3 linked regions of the Arabidopsis thaliana genome follow. The protein of the gene in region 2 interacts with the protein of the main gene of each other region in a pairwise test. Each region holds a gene or a part of one and is shown on either strand. Other genes may lie near its edges.

Region 1 (7,237 bases), on a different chromosome or scaffold from region 2:
CATGATAATTGACATATGTTGATTATACTAAATAAATTATTTGTAAAATAGGGGGGAGAGAGAAATATGAAGTAACAAAAACAAAAAAGAAAAGAAATGAGAAGATGTCTCTAAAAGCGAATTTTTAATTATTTATTACTCACCTAGTCACCTTATTTGTCATTTTTAATTTTTTATGTTAAGTAATTCTGAAATCTTCCATTGTTTTCACTAAATTCACCCATAATTCTATATATCCATTTTTTAAAACATAACTTGTGAAATCTAGTGTATATAATAACTAATAACTGTTATATTTTTATATTTGTTTGTGTGGGAAAATGTTAAGTAATAACTGTTATTTTGTATAACATGTTCTCTGTATATAATAAACAAGCACTAGGGTACTAGCTATAAGCTACGTTTCTAATTTGTCGCAAATTTTTAAGGTTTTGCTTAAGAATTAGTTGCATAAACAAATGCTAGTTGGATACTTTTGATGCTGATGTTTTATGTACGTATATCACTTTCTTGCATAAAAACACATTAGCCGAATTTTCTAGCAACTGACAATAATGCAACTGAATTTAATACAAATAAATAAATAAAATCTACAAAAGATATGGCGATGGTACTGATCTATTTGTATATAATGCTGTTTCCAACGTTACCCTTGTTTACGTCAAGAAGTTGCACGTGCCTTCTTAGGGCAGTCTTGTCATTTCCCCTAGGTAAATGATCACTATCTCCATTGTTTGGAATCAAAATTCATGTTCTCTAAATTTTTTTCTTTCTTTCGGATAAAATTATCTAATTAAAATTTATTGGAATCTTAAGAAAAAACACGTATATTCTTTATTACAATATATAGCTGAAGAAATCAGATTCGCAAATTTCCAAACGAGGAAGTGTGTATTATACATATATATTACCAATTATACCCTCTTCTACATGCAATTCGAACTACTATTATATACATAAAAAAAAAAAAAATAGAATCAGGAAACCCTAAAAGCACGTCCTGTCATTTTTATCAGGTGATTTCACTGTCTATATATATTGACTTATTGCTATATTCTATATAAAATAAATTTTGCTGTAATTCGCACACTTCCATTTTCACATTACACAATCAAATAATGAGGCAAAATAAAATAGCCAATGAAAGAGTACTTATGTACTCCAAACAGAACTTTTAAACCTTGACCAGTAAACCAAAGGATTTCTACAGCAATGATATTTTTCCTAAAACAAATTGATTCATTTTATTTGCAATAGTTCACTAAAACTCTAGTATAAAAAAGCCTTTGGTCATCCACTAGCTGAAAAAAATCTACAACAACACATAATTTTTATAAAACTACTATGACAAAGAAAAAAAAAAGAGTAAGAAATACGATCATGTAATACTATAATATATGATGGTACCATAACGTATTATTATTTTTTTTTTTTTCCTTTGTACCATAACGTATTATTAAAACCATAATAGTACTCAATTTTAATTACATGGACGACGCAACGAAGTTTTGAAATTCGGGAGAAGCATAAATTAAAAAAAGGCACGAGTCCCAAACTGTAAATAAAAAGGAAATAAGGGGTAAATTAGTAAATTAAGTGTCCTTTCAGAACAACAAGTTGCTTTAGAAGAAAATCAAAGACCCGCTCCGTTCGGGTTCGGGTCAAAAAACAGCCATTGTCGTTCTTTCTTCTTCTTCTGATTCTCATTTCAAATAAGAGAGAGAGAGAGAGAAGTAAGTAAAACTTTAGCAGAGAGAAGAATAAACAAATAATTATAGCACCGTCACGTCGCCGCCGTATTTCGTTACCGGAAAAAAAAAATCATTCTTCAACATAAAAATAAAAACAGTCTCTTTCTTTCTATCTTTGTCTATCTTTGATTATTCTCTGTGTACCCATGTTCTGCAACAGTTGAGCAAGTGCATGCCCCATATCTCTCTGTTTCTCATTTCCCGATCTTTGCATTAATCATATACTTCGCCTGAGATCTCGATTAAGCCAGCTTATAGAAGAAGAAACGGCACCAGCTTCTGTCGTTTTAGTTAGCTCGAGATCTGTGTTTCTTTTTTTCTTGGCTTCTGAGCTTTTGGCGGTGGTGGGTTTTTCTGGAGAAACCCAAACGACTATCAAAGTTTTGTTTTTTACAATTTTAAGTGGGAGTTATGAGTGGGGTGGATTAAGTAAGTTACAAGTATGAAGGAGTTGAAGATTCGAAGAAGCGGTTTTGAAGTCGGCGAGACCAAGATTGCGAGCTTATTTGGCTGATGATTTATTTCAGGGAAGAAGAAATAAATCTGTTTTTTTTAGGGTTTTTAGATTTGGTTGGTGAATGGGTGGGAGGTGGAGGGAAACAGTTAAAAAAGTTATGCTTTTAGTGTCTCTTCTTCATAATTACATTTGGGCATCTTGAAATCTTTGGATCTTTGAAGAAACAAAGTTGTGTTTTTTTTTTTGTTCTTTGTTGTTTGCTTTTTAAGTTAGAATAAAAAATGAGATTATCTTCAGCTGGGTTTAATCCTCAACCTCATGAAGGTAATTCTCTCTTTTCTCTCTCTATTGCTTTGATACTTCTAGCAAATAGTGATTTTAAACTAACTTTGTGAGTTTTGGATTGAAAGTTACAGGAGAGAAAAGAGTTCTTAATTCTGAGCTCTGGCATGCTTGTGCTGGTCCTCTTGTCTCACTACCTCCTGTTGGAAGCAGAGTTGTGTATTTTCCTCAAGGTCACAGTGAACAGGTTTTTGTCTCCTTCCTTTTATGATTTGGATTCAAATCTTTCCTTTTTGGTTACAGGTTACTTGAGAATGTTTTGTGGTTTTCAGGTTGCTGCTTCGACCAACAAAGAAGTAGATGCTCATATACCAAATTATCCGAGCTTGCATCCGCAGCTTATCTGTCAGCTTCATAATGTTACAATGCATGTAAGGAACTCACTATCAGTTTTTATGACAAACTTTTCTAAGTGTCTTTTCTGTTTGTGTGTTAGTTAAGAACTTGATTCCTTACCATTTCAGGCTGATGTGGAGACTGATGAAGTCTATGCACAGATGACTTTGCAACCGTTGAATGCGGTATGAGACTTTACTATGTAATTCATAATTAATTTTGTGGAATTTGTCGGTGTTTTGAACCTTCTTTGCTTGGTTTGAATGCAGCAAGAGCAAAAAGATCCTTACCTTCCCGCGGAATTAGGTGTCCCAAGTAGACAGCCTACAAACTATTTCTGTAAAACTCTGACTGCTAGTGATACAAGCACTCACGGAGGTTTTTCTGTACCTCGCCGAGCTGCTGAGAAAGTTTTCCCTCCCTTGGTAATTCATCTTATTGTTCATATGAATTCTACTTTCAAGATTAGCTATTGCCTCCTTAACAATAAAATTTTATGTGTTCTTCAGGATTACTCGCAGCAGCCACCAGCTCAAGAGTTAATGGCGAGGGATCTGCATGATAATGAATGGAAGTTCAGGCATATTTTCCGAGGTTAGCTTTCTTCGTGAAAAATCCAAGTTCTTATTAATAGCTGAAGAACAAAGAGATTTATTTAATCTGTATTTGTTTCTGCGTTATAGGCCAACCAAAGAGACATCTCCTTACCACGGGTTGGAGCGTATTTGTGAGTGCTAAAAGGCTTGTTGCTGGTGACTCTGTTCTTTTCATCTGGTTAGAAACATCTTTCAAATTGGGGTTTTTGTTTAAGTGTTACATTCAAATCATGAAACTGACTCAAGTATTTGTAATGCTAGGAACGATAAGAATCAATTACTTCTTGGTATAAGACGAGCCAACCGACCACAAACTGTCATGCCTTCATCTGTTTTGTCAAGTGACAGTATGCATTTAGGCCTTCTTGCTGCAGCAGCTCATGCTGCCGCTACAAACAGCCGATTCACCATCTTCTATAACCCGAGGTATCGTCTTAAGTACCTTATGAATGCACTTATGTGTTGATTCTCTTCGTTTTGCATCAAACGGATTCGGTTTTTCTGCAGGGCGAGTCCATCAGAGTTTGTTATACCCCTGGCTAAGTATGTGAAAGCGGTTTATCACACTCGCGTCTCTGTTGGTATGCGGTTTAGGATGCTGTTTGAAACTGAAGAATCTAGTGTTCGTCGGTAGGTGAATTATCAGAGTTCCTATAATTTACTCTGCTTTTTGCTGCTGAATGTCCTTAAGAATCTTCGTTTGTTGTCAGGTACATGGGTACAATAACTGGCATTTGTGATCTAGATCCTACTCGTTGGGCTAATTCGCATTGGCGATCTGTCAAGGTTTAGCTCAAAACCAAACCTTTAGTAGAAAATATTCATTGGTCTTTGCATTCTCGTATACATATATCATTCATCATCTGATCAAAATGCAGGTTGGGTGGGACGAATCTACTGCAGGAGAGAGACAGCCAAGGGTTTCATTGTGGGAGATTGAGCCTTTAACAACATTCCCTATGTATCCATCTCCTTTTCCTCTCAGGCTTAAACGGCCGTGGCCTCCTGGTCTCCCATCTTTCCATGGTATTGTAAATTTCAAAACTTTAACAAATCTCTGAAAGGTTTCTATTTCTAGTCTTTTATATCTTCTAATTTTGGTTGCAGGCCTTAAAGAAGATGATATGGGTATGAGTATGAGTTCACCGCTTATGTGGGATCGAGGACTCCAATCTCTAAACTTTCAAGGTATGGGAGTAAACCCGTGGATGCAGCCGAGACTTGATACGTCGGGCTTGCTTGGTATGCAAAATGATGTGTACCAAGCAATGGCTGCAGCTGCCCTTCAAGACATGAGAGGCATTGATCCTGCAAAAGCTGCTGCTTCACTTCTTCAGTTCCAAAATTCGCCGGGGTTCTCAATGCAATCTCCGTCCTTAGTGCAGCCGCAGATGCTGCAGCAGCAACTCTCTCAGCAGCAGCAACAACTCTCTCAGCAGCAGCAGCAGCAGCAACAGCTCTCCCAACAGCAGCAGCAACAGCTCTCTCAACAGCAGCAGCAGCAGCTCTCTCAACAGCAGCAGCAACAACTCTCTCAGCAGCAGCAGCAACAGGCGTATCTTGGCGTTCCTGAAACCCACCAGCCTCAGTCTCAGGCTCAATCACAGTCAAACAATCATCTTTCTCAGCAGCAGCAGCAAGTAGTGGATAATCATAATCCGTCTGCGTCCAGTGCTGCTGTTGTTTCCGCTATGTCTCAATTTGGTTCTGCTTCTCAGCCCAACACGTCACCACTCCAGTCCATGACCTCTCTGTGTCATCAGCAAAGCTTCTCCGATACCAACGGAGGAAACAATCCTATTTCTCCACTTCACACTCTTCTCAGTAACTTCTCTCAAGACGAATCTTCTCAACTGCTCCACCTCACTAGAACAAACTCTGCAATGACTTCATCCGGTTGGCCATCAAAGCGTCCTGCAGTTGATTCATCGTTCCAGCACTCTGGAGCCGGTAATAATAACACTCAATCCGTATTGGAGCAACTGGGACAGTCCCACACAAGCAACGTTCCTCCAAACGCTGTCTCGTTGCCTCCATTTCCCGGTGGTAGAGAGTGCTCGATCGAGCAAGAAGGAAGCGCCTCAGACCCGCATAGCCATCTTCTCTTTGGAGTCAATATAGATTCATCTTCTCTTTTGATGCCGAACGGAATGTCAAACCTTAGAAGCATTGGTATTGAAGGTGGTGACTCCACGACTTTACCCTTCACATCATCTAATTTCAACAATGATTTCTCGGGTAATCTTGCAATGACAACACCTTCTAGTTGCATAGATGAATCGGGTTTTCTACAATCCTCAGAAAACCTCGGTTCCGAGAACCCACAATCTAACACCTTTGTGAAGGTAAAGTTTTATTTCTTTTCCCTACCCAAAATGTTCTTCTTGTTTGCATGCATAGCGATGATTCCGGAAATGTTTTTGTAGGTGTACAAGTCAGGGTCTTTTGGAAGATCGTTAGATATATCAAAGTTTAGCAGCTACCACGAGCTGCGAAGCGAGCTTGCTCGCATGTTTGGCCTCGAAGGCCAATTAGAAGACCCTGTGAGATCAGGCTGGCAGCTTGTATTTGTTGACCGAGAGAACGACGTTCTTCTCCTCGGCGATGACCCTTGGCCGTGAGTTTATTAACTTATCCCTCATTTCCGCATTTGGTTTTGTCCATTTCCATGTTTATTTACCTGCATTTACCATTATCGACAGGGAGTTTGTGAGCAGCGTGTGGTGCATTAAGATACTGTCACCACAAGAAGTGCAACAAATGGGAAAAAGAGGCCTTGAGCTTCTCAACTCCGCGCCATCTTCCAACAATGTCGATAAGCTCCCGAGCAACGGGAACTGTGACGACTTTGGGAACCGGTCAGACCCGAGGAATCTCGGTAACGGTATCGCATCAGTTGGGGGTTCATTCAACTACTAGAAGTAGATGGAAACCTCCCTTTTTATTCAAGTTAAGTTTCAATCTTATAAATTAGTAGTGAGATCATCTTAGTTTAATTACTAGCAAAAATCTCTCTTTATTACTTATAAAAAAGGGAGATTTGCCTTTGCCTTTGATGGAAACAAAAACTATATAATCCCTCTGTCGACTCGTAATACTGTAATTATAAGATCTTTTGGTCTTTTTCTTATATGAATATTTTTACTGAACTCTATATATGTCACTTTCCTTACTCATTTCTTCAATCAATATGATAGTGAAGGGTTATTTTGGAGTTACATTAAGACTTTGTCTGACTAAAATGGTCCACAGAGAAAGTGATTTGGGTCCCAATCTCCTTATTGGAAGTGAAAGCGTTTTGTGGTTTTGTTGTGTGAAACACCAAAATATTCCGACCCGCAATTTGGGGCTTTACCCTAAAATTAGATCTCATTTTGCGTCAGCAAAAACTTTATCTCTAGACACGTATCGATCCGTAGTTCGTAGGACATTTTTATTGGTAGGTAAATTAATATATGCCCTTATCGTTTATAGTAAGTTTTTTTTTTCACAATATCGTTTATAGTAAGTTTAGTTTTCACCAAAGAATATGAAACGAAATTTGTAGAATGAGTATGGTTTTTGTTTGCGTCTTCATGTTAAGATAATTAGAATATTATAACATGGTAAAAAAGGAAATCTAACTCCTATTAACTTGAGAAAATAAACGTCATTTCGATAATTGATCGAAATTGTTGTGAATTTGGAAAATATCTTGCAATATAACTTTTTCTTGTTCGGTTTTATCGGAATGGGATTAGGTAAGTTATGAAATG
Region 2 (3,312 bases):
GGTGACATAAGTATAAATGATATTATCATGATTCACCTACCTGCAGGAGATCCATCTATTGGGATCAGAAAATCCGTTATACTATTATATAGCATGTAAACTCTACAATTATGTTATCATCTCCCACACAATGAGAGGGATTTCCAAAACAGATTTAACAAATGTTACTTCTTATAAGCATACGTCTTGTTTTATATTGAACACGCAAGCCTCTAGCGACTAGCATCTCTGTATTTCATGATCAAGTTTATACATATACTTTTTTATTTGTTATACTCTTTATGTTTTTTTTAATAAAAAAAATTGTTTTGGATGAATATGAAAAGAATAAGAAACTAGAAATAACTTTTTGATTAATAATAGTTCAATAATATGAGTACTAATTATTAATTTAAAACACAAATGTTGTATGGAAAAACAAAAACAACAACTAAAATGACAAAAAATTGTTCAACCATCTTATAAACTTTAAACGTAGGGAGCATTACTTTATACTTGTTGTAAAAACGATAATGCTTATTGGTAAAATAACCCATATACATTTTGATTTGTCAATATGTTCATATATGATCTAGTTTTTGTTCTCGTTGTCGCTAGATAGACAATAAAATTTCTTAGTGGACAGTGATTGTGGAATGAATATACGCCCAACACAAATATAAACATCAAATTAAGGTGCATGCGGTATGGGAATTGCAAGTTAAATGAACATAGTTATGCGTAATTTCGAGAAGGGATTAATTGTATTACCTTGCTCGAAATACCACATGGGCCGTGTCCCCAAAAGCCCATTTAAAATGGTTTTTTTTTTTTTTTAAATCATCTCTTTAGATATTTTTTTCAACTCTTTTTCAACAAAATATATAGTTTCATATAGATATTTGTATTTATAATAAATGTTAAAATGAAATTTTACACAATAATTAAAATAAAATAAATAGAAAAAATGTTATTTGAGACAGCATATCACATGGCCTTACCATACTTCCTGCATCCATTATTCCATTAAGAACACTCTTCACCCTCATCCACATGCATCTCCCTCCCCAATTTATTTACTATTGATCATAATTGTACAAACCTATACTTACAATTTATATATGTGTCTACGAGAAAATAAATAATATTTTACAGTGTTTTGTCTATTATTTTGTTCTATAGTTTCTTGCAAACAAAACATTACTTTTCACGCAAAAACTGTCGAAATATTTATAAAAGGAAATTGTTAATTCTTCGATACAAATTGACCATTAATATTTGATCATCTATTCTAGACATCTACTCTACCATATACCAAACCTTTACACAAAAATGAAATATTTTCATGAAAACTACCCCACAACTGGGGTGATCGAAAAAGCTTGATCTATATGATCAACATGTCCAACACTAGTTTCATTTTTTCTACTATGATATCCGATGATCCAATCTGAACTATACAAAATGTATCTAGATATTTTCTTGAATCAATCCGAATAACGAATAGTTGCAAAACATAAACCTAGCGTGATCGTGTGGTAGAAGGACGAAGGTCGAGAAGTTCTCTTACTCTTATGATTTTCTCTTTACTCATTTGACCGTAAGAGAAAGAAACGGCTAGGATCTCGCGTACGCAACTGGCGGAGACAAATCAGGACCGTTGAAAATAAGAAAGAAGCCGCGTCCAAAATCTTTGTGTCCCACCTTTGTCCCCTTGCCTCTAACTTGCCTCCTCATGCTCCCCGACAACGTCATAATTCATATCTCTCTCTCTCTCTCGTTAACCCTAATTTCAAAGCATCTTTCCTTATATAAATCTCTCTCTCTCCCTCACCATTACACAACACACACAAGCATTTTCAAGGATATCAAATCACAATCCCAAGAAGAGCAATAACAAGAGAAGAAGAAGTAGTTCAAGAATTAAGGAAGAGAGCTTCTCCGTTAAAGTATAGTGAGAGAATATGGAAGTCACCAATGGGCTTAACCTTAAGGACACAGAGCTTCGTTTGGGATTACCCGGAGCACAAGAAGAACAACAACTAGAACTTTCTTGCGTCAGAAGCAACAACAAGCGCAAGAACAACGACTCAACAGAAGAATCTGCTCCTCCTCCTGCAAAGTAAGTTGAGATCTGAAAGTTATAGTTTTAATATCCAAACTTCTTGATATCAATCGGTGTACTAATAATGAATCTTGATTTGTAAACTTCAGAACACAAATCGTTGGATGGCCTCCAGTGAGATCTAACCGTAAGAACAACAACAACAAAAACGTGAGTTATGTGAAAGTGAGTATGGACGGAGCTCCATATCTCCGTAAGATAGATCTCAAGATGTACAAAAACTATCCAGAGCTTCTCAAAGCACTAGAGAACATGTTCAAGTTCACAGTAGGTGAATATTCCGAGAGAGAAGGCTACAAAGGATCTGGATTTGTACCTACTTATGAAGACAAAGATGGAGATTGGATGTTGGTCGGTGATGTTCCATGGGACATGTTCTCTTCATCTTGTCAAAAACTCAGAATCATGAAAGGATCCGAAGCTCCTACTGCCTTATGATCCATTGTCTCAAAACACCTTTTGGTCGAGGCAAAAACAAATTCTACTTTGTTTAGATAAAAAAAAGTTTGGTGTAAAGAAAGAAAAAGCAATAGGGTTACAAATACGTTATATAGATGTAAACTAGCTTTGGTTAATTCTGTAAAAGATGAGTTTTGATTATACGAAGTTTATATGTATGCTCAAGATATTTGATACTAACATAACCAATAAAGTTTAGTATTTGATACTAACATAAGTTTGGGACATAGTGAAAGATATAAAATTTTGGATTAAGAAATGGGCAATGTAATGGATATCACTATCGAAAGTTTTCAACTTTTTTTTGTTTTGTTTAATATTAGATGGCGAGAATCTTTAGTCACTACCCAATAACTTGCTCCACCAATTTGGGATTTGACTTGAGCTCTTCTCATCGTCATCTTCGTCGCCTTCTTTTCCGATCTACTTTCATCACTCCTTCACTCACTCAGTCTCCGTAAGCTCTTCTTCTTCTTCTCTCAGTCTCTGTTTTTCAATCCGAAAATTCATTACTTTGATGGTGTTACCACGAATTGAGAATCATTGATGGTATTGCTTTGATGGGTATCGTTTATATGACAGTTTTTAATCCGAAAGTTTATTACTTTGATTGGTTTTTTGTTTGTTCTGTTTTAACGAATTTGAAGCCAATCATATCTACTAAGAACTTGATTGGTTTAGAGTTATGGATGATGAATCTGATTAATGGAATTGTTTTGCAATCATTAGTGATTTATGAGATACTTGTT
Region 3 (7,867 bases), on a different chromosome or scaffold from region 2:
AATAATGCATATCAGAATGACATAGTAAAGTCGAGAAAATCATGGAATCGTAACGAAACTTCCTCGTCTCTCTCTGATAATTCATCCAACTCAAGTGGTGTATTTTGTGGTTACATTTACATATATTGTCAACACCAACTGTCGAATTCATTAAATCGGCTAAAATACGTTGATGTGATTCTGGAAATATCTTTAGGACAGTATATGAGTTATTCATCTTGTTCATTTTCCACTTTCCACTGCGGACACCATACGGACACACAACCGGTTCTGAAATGCGTCACGCTCTTCTTCCTTTCATTCCAACTTTAATACATGCATGAAGTCGTAGTTCGGAGTTCATACTAAATTTCGGTCACTTTGTAATAAGAAAACTATTAACATTTTTCTTTTTCTTTTTTTAAACGTTAGCTAGGCCTCAAAGTTTCACAAAAAAAAAAGAAAAAAAAAAGCTAGGCGTCGAAATCCATAACTTCAAAAGGCCTTCTTACATTCATCCAATCTCCAAACTTCTGTCTTCACGCATTTATTGCTCAGGGACATCATGTCGCTACTCACTGCCACTTATTTGAATTGACATCCATTCATTCCATACATATATATTACCTTCACTTAAAGTTGTAAGTATATAGAATTTTAAGCATTCCTGCCAAATAAGTTTTGGATCGAACCTAAACTAACAAAGAGGTTACTGTTTTGTAACTTTCTTTTTTGATGTGGGGTCATTCAAAGGGTTTACATGCATTTTACAATGGTCTGTGATGAATATGGAGGTTCAGTCTTTGGTAGATAAAACTTGTTATGTGGCCTTAAACCAAATAGATTGTAGTTTGTACAATGACATATTTATGGTTATATTCGGTTTTCCAATATGTTTAGGAATATATATCACCGTTTTTTTTTGGGTAGACATTTTAACGATTATAGAGGAAAATTTTGAATGATGGCTGTACTGGGAAAAGAGTGTAAGTTGTGATCATCATATGTAATTTTATTTTGTGTGACATTATAACACTTCTTCCAAAAGACAAAAGTTTAGGTTAATTAATATAAGAAACCAATAAAGAATCATGAACAAAGAGAGAACTTCTATCATTTTTGATATGAAATCGTCCGTTAAAATATTGTTCTTTGTGATCGCATATGCTGTATGTACTTAGATTTGATCAATTAATCAACATTTACAACAAAATAAGATCAATTGTTTATAATGATGATCTAAGCGAATTTAGATTTGTTTGTTATTATAGAACTCATTACTAAACATTTAAGTTCCATTCTCGTTTAAAACATGAACGCTAGTTTATGAAACTCAGAACCAACCATGTAAAACTCCACAAAATTTCTAGTAAAATGCTTTTGTTCAAAATAATGAAAATCATAAAATTTTTTGATGAATTATGAATCCTAAAATCTATCTGAATTAAATATAGTTAACTACAAAAGAAATTGCCAAACATATATGTACGCACTTTGATCAAATAACTAGCTAGTCAGCTTAGTTTGTTTTTTTCAATACATCCCCTATAAATCTATGTTATCCCTAATCAAGTATTACAATAAATGATACAGTAATAATAACCTTAATGAAAAAAACTTATCAAATTATCAGAGATAAGGAAAAAGAAAACACTAATAAAGTTGTTTTTTTGTGTGTCAAAGTTAAAATTTTAGAGGACAATAATAACATTAAGAAATTAAATCGTGGCCAGTTTGCTAGTGAATATGTCGGCTTCATGAGCATAACTAAATAGGTATAAAAAAATAAAAATATCGGAAAAAGAAAAGAGAAGGAAAAAAAAAGGAGAGGAAGAAGAAAAAGCTGTTCCTGTGCTTTAGCAGACCTTTTGGTAGTTGTCCTGGTCGCTGATCATCCCTTTCCGACAACTCTGTTGCTCTTTCTCTCACGTTTGAGTCTTAATCTTCGATTGTCCTTGGTCATCCTTAAGTTTTGTTTTTCTCTTTCGATTCATTTTCCAGATTTCTTTTTATAGAAACCCGTCTCTTTGATTTGATTCCCCCCAAGAAAGGAAAGCAAAACAAAGAAGAGCAGCTGAATCAAGTAACTTTGTGGGTGTTTTTGAATTATCTGACTCGAGATAAAGAGCTTCGTTAAAAACGGAATCTTTTTTAAGGTCGTATGCTTTGTTTGTCTCTCCGGAGATTCCGCGTGTGAAAAGTCGTGGTTTTTGATCTCTTTGAGATACTTAAAATTTCCGAGAAATTGGCGGCTCTGTCGGAGATAAAAAGCTGAGATCTTGGAGTTCCCCATTTCTGATTAACGATTCTCTCTGCTGTTACTTGAGCTAGGAAGCTATTAACAACTTGAGTGAAAGTTTAGGGCTTTTGATGAAGCTCTCACGCAAAGAGCTTAGCTTTGTATAAGCTCAGATTCAGATTATTTATTGGGTTTATTCTTCAGAGAAAGTAAAGTTGAGTGATCATGAAAGCTCCTTCATCAAATGGAGTTTCTCCTAATCCTGTTGAAGGTTTGTGTGTTTCTCGTATCTGATAAATGTCAATCCTTTAGTAGAAGAAATTCATTGCTGGATTTGAATAGATTCAAGTTTTAAGTAGAAGAGGTCACACATTTCTTCAGAATTGCTGGATTTGAGAACCTGAATTGAATTGGTTTCGGTCATTTTCTGCTTAGAGAGTAAGCTAAGTTACTATTGTATTGGTTTATAAAGACTGTGGCTTTTAGTTGGTTTAGAGCAGTTCTCTCCTATCTTGTTGGTTTGATAATAGTAACTGAATGAAGATCCTAGAGATTTTAAGTAATCACAGCTTTGATGTTGTGTGAATGCAGGAGAAAGGAGAAATATAAACTCAGAGCTATGGCACGCTTGTGCTGGGCCATTGATTTCGTTGCCTCCAGCAGGAAGTCTTGTTGTTTACTTCCCTCAAGGTCACAGTGAGCAAGTATGTTGTTCAATAAAGTTTGGTATCATTCGCGGCTGATCAAGAATGAGTCGCTGATTGGAAATTTCATGTGGTTGCTATTTATTTTTCTGTTTCTTAGGTCGCGGCTTCAATGCAGAAGCAGACTGATTTCATACCAAGTTACCCGAATCTTCCTTCCAAGCTCATATGCATGCTCCACAATGTTACACTGAATGTATGGTATCTTTTAAATATCTATAATGGCCTCTTAGGCTAGTTGTTTTAACATTTTTTGCTTTTGAGTTGCTAATGTTTTGCTAATTGTCGACTGTGAACCAGGCTGATCCTGAGACGGATGAGGTCTATGCGCAGATGACTCTTCAGCCAGTAAACAAAGTAGCTTACCTTTCACTGAATAACTCGATTTATAGGTGTATTTAAGGAGTAGGGAGGGACTAATTGCTCTGAGCATTTTGTTGAACAGTATGACAGAGATGCATTGCTTGCTTCTGACATGGGTCTTAAGCTAAACAGACAACCTAATGAATTTTTCTGCAAAACCCTCACGGCGAGTGACACAAGTACTCACGGTGGATTTTCTGTACCCCGACGAGCTGCTGAGAAAATCTTTCCTGCTCTGGTGTATATACAATACTTTCTTATACATCTGATAGTTAGTATCTCTGTATTGCCTTAGTTTCTTACATTGTTGGCAATATTTTACTAGGATTTCTCGATGCAACCACCTTGTCAGGAGCTTGTTGCTAAGGATATTCATGACAACACATGGACTTTCAGACATATTTATCGAGGTTTTACCTTGTTTTTGGTAGATTACCTTCTTTAATCAATTTGGCTTTCGTAGAATTGTTCTTACGTTTTGGATATGTTGACATTTATCAGGTCAACCAAAAAGGCACTTGCTAACTACAGGCTGGAGTGTGTTTGTCAGCACGAAAAGGCTCTTTGCTGGAGACTCTGTTCTTTTTATAAGGTATATCAATCTCAATGTGCCAATGCTCTCTTTCGGTATTTTTTTTTGTCAAGATGCTAATTCTTTTTTTCTTTCAATTAAGAGATGGAAAGGCGCAACTTCTGTTGGGGATAAGACGTGCAAATAGACAACAGCCTGCACTTTCTTCATCTGTAATATCAAGTGATAGCATGCACATCGGAGTTCTTGCAGCTGCAGCTCATGCTAATGCTAATAACAGTCCTTTCACCATTTTCTACAACCCGAGGTGGCGATCTATGTTTCCTTTTGTCTACGTTAACCTTACTATATATGCTTGTTTCATGGCAATTGCTGAGAGATTTACAACCGAGTTTTTTCAGGGCTGCTCCTGCTGAGTTTGTGGTTCCTTTAGCCAAGTATACCAAAGCGATGTACGCTCAAGTTTCCCTCGGTATGCGGTTTAGAATGATATTTGAGACTGAAGAATGTGGAGTTCGTCGGTATATGGGTACAGTTACCGGTATCAGTGATCTTGATCCAGTGAGATGGAAAAACTCTCAGTGGCGGAATCTTCAGGTAGTTTGAAGTAAAACTCATGATGAATGTCAGATTTGTCTTTCTTGATACATTGCACCATTCATTTTAGTTATGCTTTGTTTCTGTTTCTGCTAAAGATTGGATGGGATGAGTCAGCTGCTGGTGATAGGCCCAGTCGAGTTTCAGTTTGGGACATTGAACCGGTTTTAACTCCTTTCTACATATGTCCTCCTCCATTTTTCCGACCTCGCTTTTCTGGACAACCTGGAATGCCAGGTAAATTTTTGTACCATTTCATTTCGACACAACTTCTTTGAATCTCCTCAAGGACGGAATTTCCGGTGCTCTTGCAGATGATGAGACTGACATGGAGTCTGCACTGAAGAGAGCAATGCCATGGCTTGATAATAGCTTAGAGATGAAAGACCCTTCGAGTACTATCTTTCCTGGTCTGAGTTTAGTTCAGTGGATGAATATGCAGCAGCAGAACGGCCAGCTACCCTCTGCTGCTGCACAGCCAGGTTTCTTCCCATCAATGCTTTCGCCAACCGCGGCGCTGCACAACAATCTTGGCGGCACTGATGATCCCTCCAAGTTACTGAGCTTTCAGACGCCGCACGGGGGGATTTCCTCCTCAAATCTCCAATTTAACAAACAGAATCAGCAAGCCCCAATGTCTCAGTTGCCTCAGCCACCAACTACGTTGTCCCAACAACAGCAGCTGCAGCAATTGTTGCACTCCTCTTTGAACCATCAACAACAGCAATCGCAGTCTCAACAACAGCAACAACAACAACAGTTGCTGCAGCAGCAACAACAATTGCAGTCTCAACAACACAGCAACAACAATCAATCGCAGTCTCAGCAACAACAACAATTGCTCCAGCAGCAACAACAACAACAACTGCAGCAACAACATCAACAACCGTTACAGCAACAGACTCAGCAGCAGCAGCTAAGAACACAGCCATTGCAATCTCACTCGCATCCACAGCCACAACAGTTACAACAACATAAGTTGCAGCAACTTCAGGTTCCACAGAATCAGCTTTACAATGGTCAACAAGCAGCGCAGCAGCATCAGTCGCAACAAGCATCTACACATCATTTGCAACCACAATTAGTTTCGGGATCAATGGCAAGCAGTGTCATCACGCCTCCGTCCAGCTCCCTTAATCAAAGCTTTCAACAGCAACAACAACAGTCTAAGCAACTTCAACAAGCACATCACCATTTAGGTGCTAGCACTAGCCAGAGTAGTGTAATTGAAACCAGCAAGTCTTCATCCAATCTGATGTCCGCACCGCCGCAAGAGACACAGTTTTCACGACAAGTAGAACAGCAGCAGCCTCCTGGTCTCAACGGGCAGAATCAGCAAACACTTTTGCAGCAGAAAGCTCACCAGGCACAGGCCCAACAGATATTCCAGCAGAGTCTCTTGGAACAGCCGCATATACAGTTTCAGCTGTTACAGAGATTACAACAGCAACAGCAGCAGCAATTTCTTTCGCCGCAGTCTCAGTTACCACACCATCAATTGCAAAGCCAGCAGTTGCAACAGCTGCCTACTCTCTCTCAAGGTCATCAGTTTCCGTCATCTTGCACTAACAATGGCTTATCGACGTTGCAACCACCTCAAATGCTGGTGAGCCGACCTCAGGAAAAACAAAACCCACCGGTTGGGGGAGGGGTCAAAGCTTATTCAGGCATCACAGATGGAGGAGATGCACCTTCCTCTTCAACGTCGCCTTCCACCAACAACTGTCAGATCTCTTCTTCAGGCTTTCTCAACAGAAGCCAAAGCGGGCCAGCGATCTTGATACCTGATGCAGCGATTGATATGTCTGGTAATCTTGTTCAGGATCTTTACAGCAAATCCGATATGCGGCTAAAACAAGAACTCGTGGGTCAGCAAAAGTCCAAAGCTAGTTTAACAGATCATCAACTAGAAGCATCTGCCTCTGGAACTTCTTACGGTTTAGATGGAGGCGAAAACAACAGACAACAAAATTTCTTGGCTCCAACTTTTGGCCTTGACGGTGATTCCAGGAACAGCTTGCTCGGTGGAGCTAATGTTGATAATGGCTTTGTGCCTGACACGCTACTCTCGAGGGGATATGACTCCCAGAAAGATCTTCAGAACATGCTTTCAAACTATGGAGGAGTGACAAATGACATTGGTACAGAGATGTCTACTTCAGCTGTAAGAACTCAATCTTTTGGTGTCCCCAATGTGCCCGCCATTTCGAACGATCTAGCTGTCAACGATGCTGGAGTTCTTGGTGGTGGATTGTGGCCAGCTCAGACTCAGCGAATGCGAACTTATACAAAGGTTCGATTGTGCTCTGATCTATGCTTGTTGATATTTGGGTTATGTTTTCGGTTTGACAAATGTTAAATTTTCCTACAGGTGCAAAAACGAGGCTCAGTGGGGAGATCAATAGACGTCAACCGTTACAGAGGTTACGATGAGCTGAGGCATGATCTAGCGCGCATGTTTGGGATCGAAGGACAGCTCGAAGATCCTCAAACATCTGACTGGAAACTTGTTTATGTCGATCATGAAAATGACATCCTCCTCGTCGGCGATGATCCATGGGAGTAAGTAGAGAGCAATTACATTCACACATCAGACTGTTAGAAGTTCCATTATTTTTTTGCTAACCTTTAAAATCGTGATTTTTGCAGAGAATTCGTAAACTGTGTTCAGAGCATTAAGATCCTTTCATCAGCTGAGGTTCAGCAGATGAGCTTAGACGGGAACTTTGCCGGTGTACCAGTTACTAATCAAGCTTGTAGTGGCGGTGACAGTGGCAATGCTTGGAGAGGTCATTATGATGATAACTCAGCCACTTCGTTTAACCGGTGATGGCAGAAGAGTTCTCTCACAGACAAAGATTCTTTTTTCTTCGTTTTGTAATATAACTTCTCGTTGATAACATGTCTCAAGTTTCCACTGGGCACTGTAGAGCATTTACCTGTAAAATATCTTCCACTAAGTTTACACGGAGATTTTATTTGCTGTGAGTCACTGTTTCTACCAAGTTTAACTGATCAACTGAAACCGCTTGTAACCAAAAAGAGAAGGAAAAACATGAAATCAGCAATAAAATCACATTTTCAAACTCAAGTCTTTATTCCAGATTATGCTCAGGCCGTTTACGGAAAAAATTTCCACAATTGGGATACAAGTTGCAGATTACAAAGATATAACATAACTAAGAAAGTATAGCCATCACATCTGAAGCTCTGAGGGCAATGTAGTTGGAACCATCTTTGCCCTTGAAGTCGTTACCAGCATACTTGGAGTAAAGTACTGTGCTTCCGGTTGATACTGGTAGAGGCGTAATTTTACCTTCCTCGTCTAGGGAACCCGGTCCAACTGCTATCACCTGCCATAAAATGAAGAGGAGAATATGTATAATTGGAACTTGTGTATGAACTGACTATCACATCAAGCTACTAAGAAAGTATCAGATTCCCCGAATGGAC

The links. Proteins that work in one complex are often made in the same cells at the same time.
Region 1: the proteins of IAA1 (region 2) and ARF6 interact in a two-hybrid assay, tested with the Arabidopsis thaliana proteins (2 studies listed by BioGRID).
Region 3: the proteins of IAA1 (region 2) and NPH4 interact in binary tests that used the Arabidopsis thaliana proteins (3 or more experiments, as listed by UniProt).

Annotation. Positions count from the first base shown.
Region 1 is NC_003070.9:10,685,289-10,692,525, reverse strand, and holds ARF6 (auxin response factor 6), read left to right. Parts: upstream 1-1,537; 5' UTR 1,538-2,489; coding exon 2,490-2,532; intron 2,533-2,618; coding exon 2,619-2,737; intron 2,738-2,822; coding exon 2,823-2,921; intron 2,922-3,014; coding exon 3,015-3,071; intron 3,072-3,155; coding exon 3,156-3,311; intron 3,312-3,395; coding exon 3,396-3,480; intron 3,481-3,569; coding exon 3,570-3,660; intron 3,661-3,743; coding exon 3,744-3,908; intron 3,909-3,989; coding exon 3,990-4,112; intron 4,113-4,192; coding exon 4,193-4,268; intron 4,269-4,360; coding exon 4,361-4,508; intron 4,509-4,589; coding exon 4,590-5,827; intron 5,828-5,908; coding exon 5,909-6,099; intron 6,100-6,184; coding exon 6,185-6,401; 3' UTR 6,402-6,704; downstream 6,705-7,237. UniProt on the Arabidopsis thaliana protein: Auxin response factors (ARFs) are transcriptional factors that bind specifically to the DNA sequence 5'-TGTCTC-3' found in the auxin-responsive promoter elements (AuxREs). Seems to act as transcriptional activator.
Region 2 is NC_003075.7:8,359,239-8,362,550, forward strand, and holds IAA1 (indole-3-acetic acid inducible), read left to right. Parts: upstream 1-1,757; 5' UTR 1,758-1,943; coding exon 1,944-2,101; intron 2,102-2,193; coding exon 2,194-2,542; 3' UTR 2,543-2,795; downstream 2,796-3,312. Other genes in the region: AARE (acylaminoacyl-peptidase-like protein), read left to right, coding at 2,887-3,020. UniProt on the Arabidopsis thaliana protein: Aux/IAA proteins are short-lived transcriptional factors that function as repressors of early auxin response genes at low auxin concentrations.
Region 3 is NC_003076.8:7,016,081-7,023,947, reverse strand, and holds NPH4 (Transcriptional factor B3 family protein / auxin-responsive factor AUX/IAA-like protein), read left to right. Parts: upstream 1-1,834; 5' UTR 1,835-2,443; coding exon 2,444-2,489; intron 2,490-2,809; coding exon 2,810-2,922; intron 2,923-3,022; coding exon 3,023-3,118; intron 3,119-3,222; coding exon 3,223-3,279; intron 3,280-3,367; coding exon 3,368-3,523; intron 3,524-3,610; coding exon 3,611-3,695; intron 3,696-3,786; coding exon 3,787-3,877; intron 3,878-3,959; coding exon 3,960-4,127; intron 4,128-4,218; coding exon 4,219-4,414; intron 4,415-4,512; coding exon 4,513-4,651; intron 4,652-4,728; coding exon 4,729-6,707; intron 6,708-6,785; coding exon 6,786-6,976; intron 6,977-7,063; coding exon 7,064-7,244; 3' UTR 7,245-7,478; downstream 7,479-7,867. Other genes in the region: CPN20 (chaperonin 20), read right to left, coding at 7,594-7,767. UniProt on the Arabidopsis thaliana protein: Auxin response factors (ARFs) are transcriptional factors that bind specifically to the DNA sequence 5'-TGTCTC-3' found in the auxin-responsive promoter elements (AuxREs).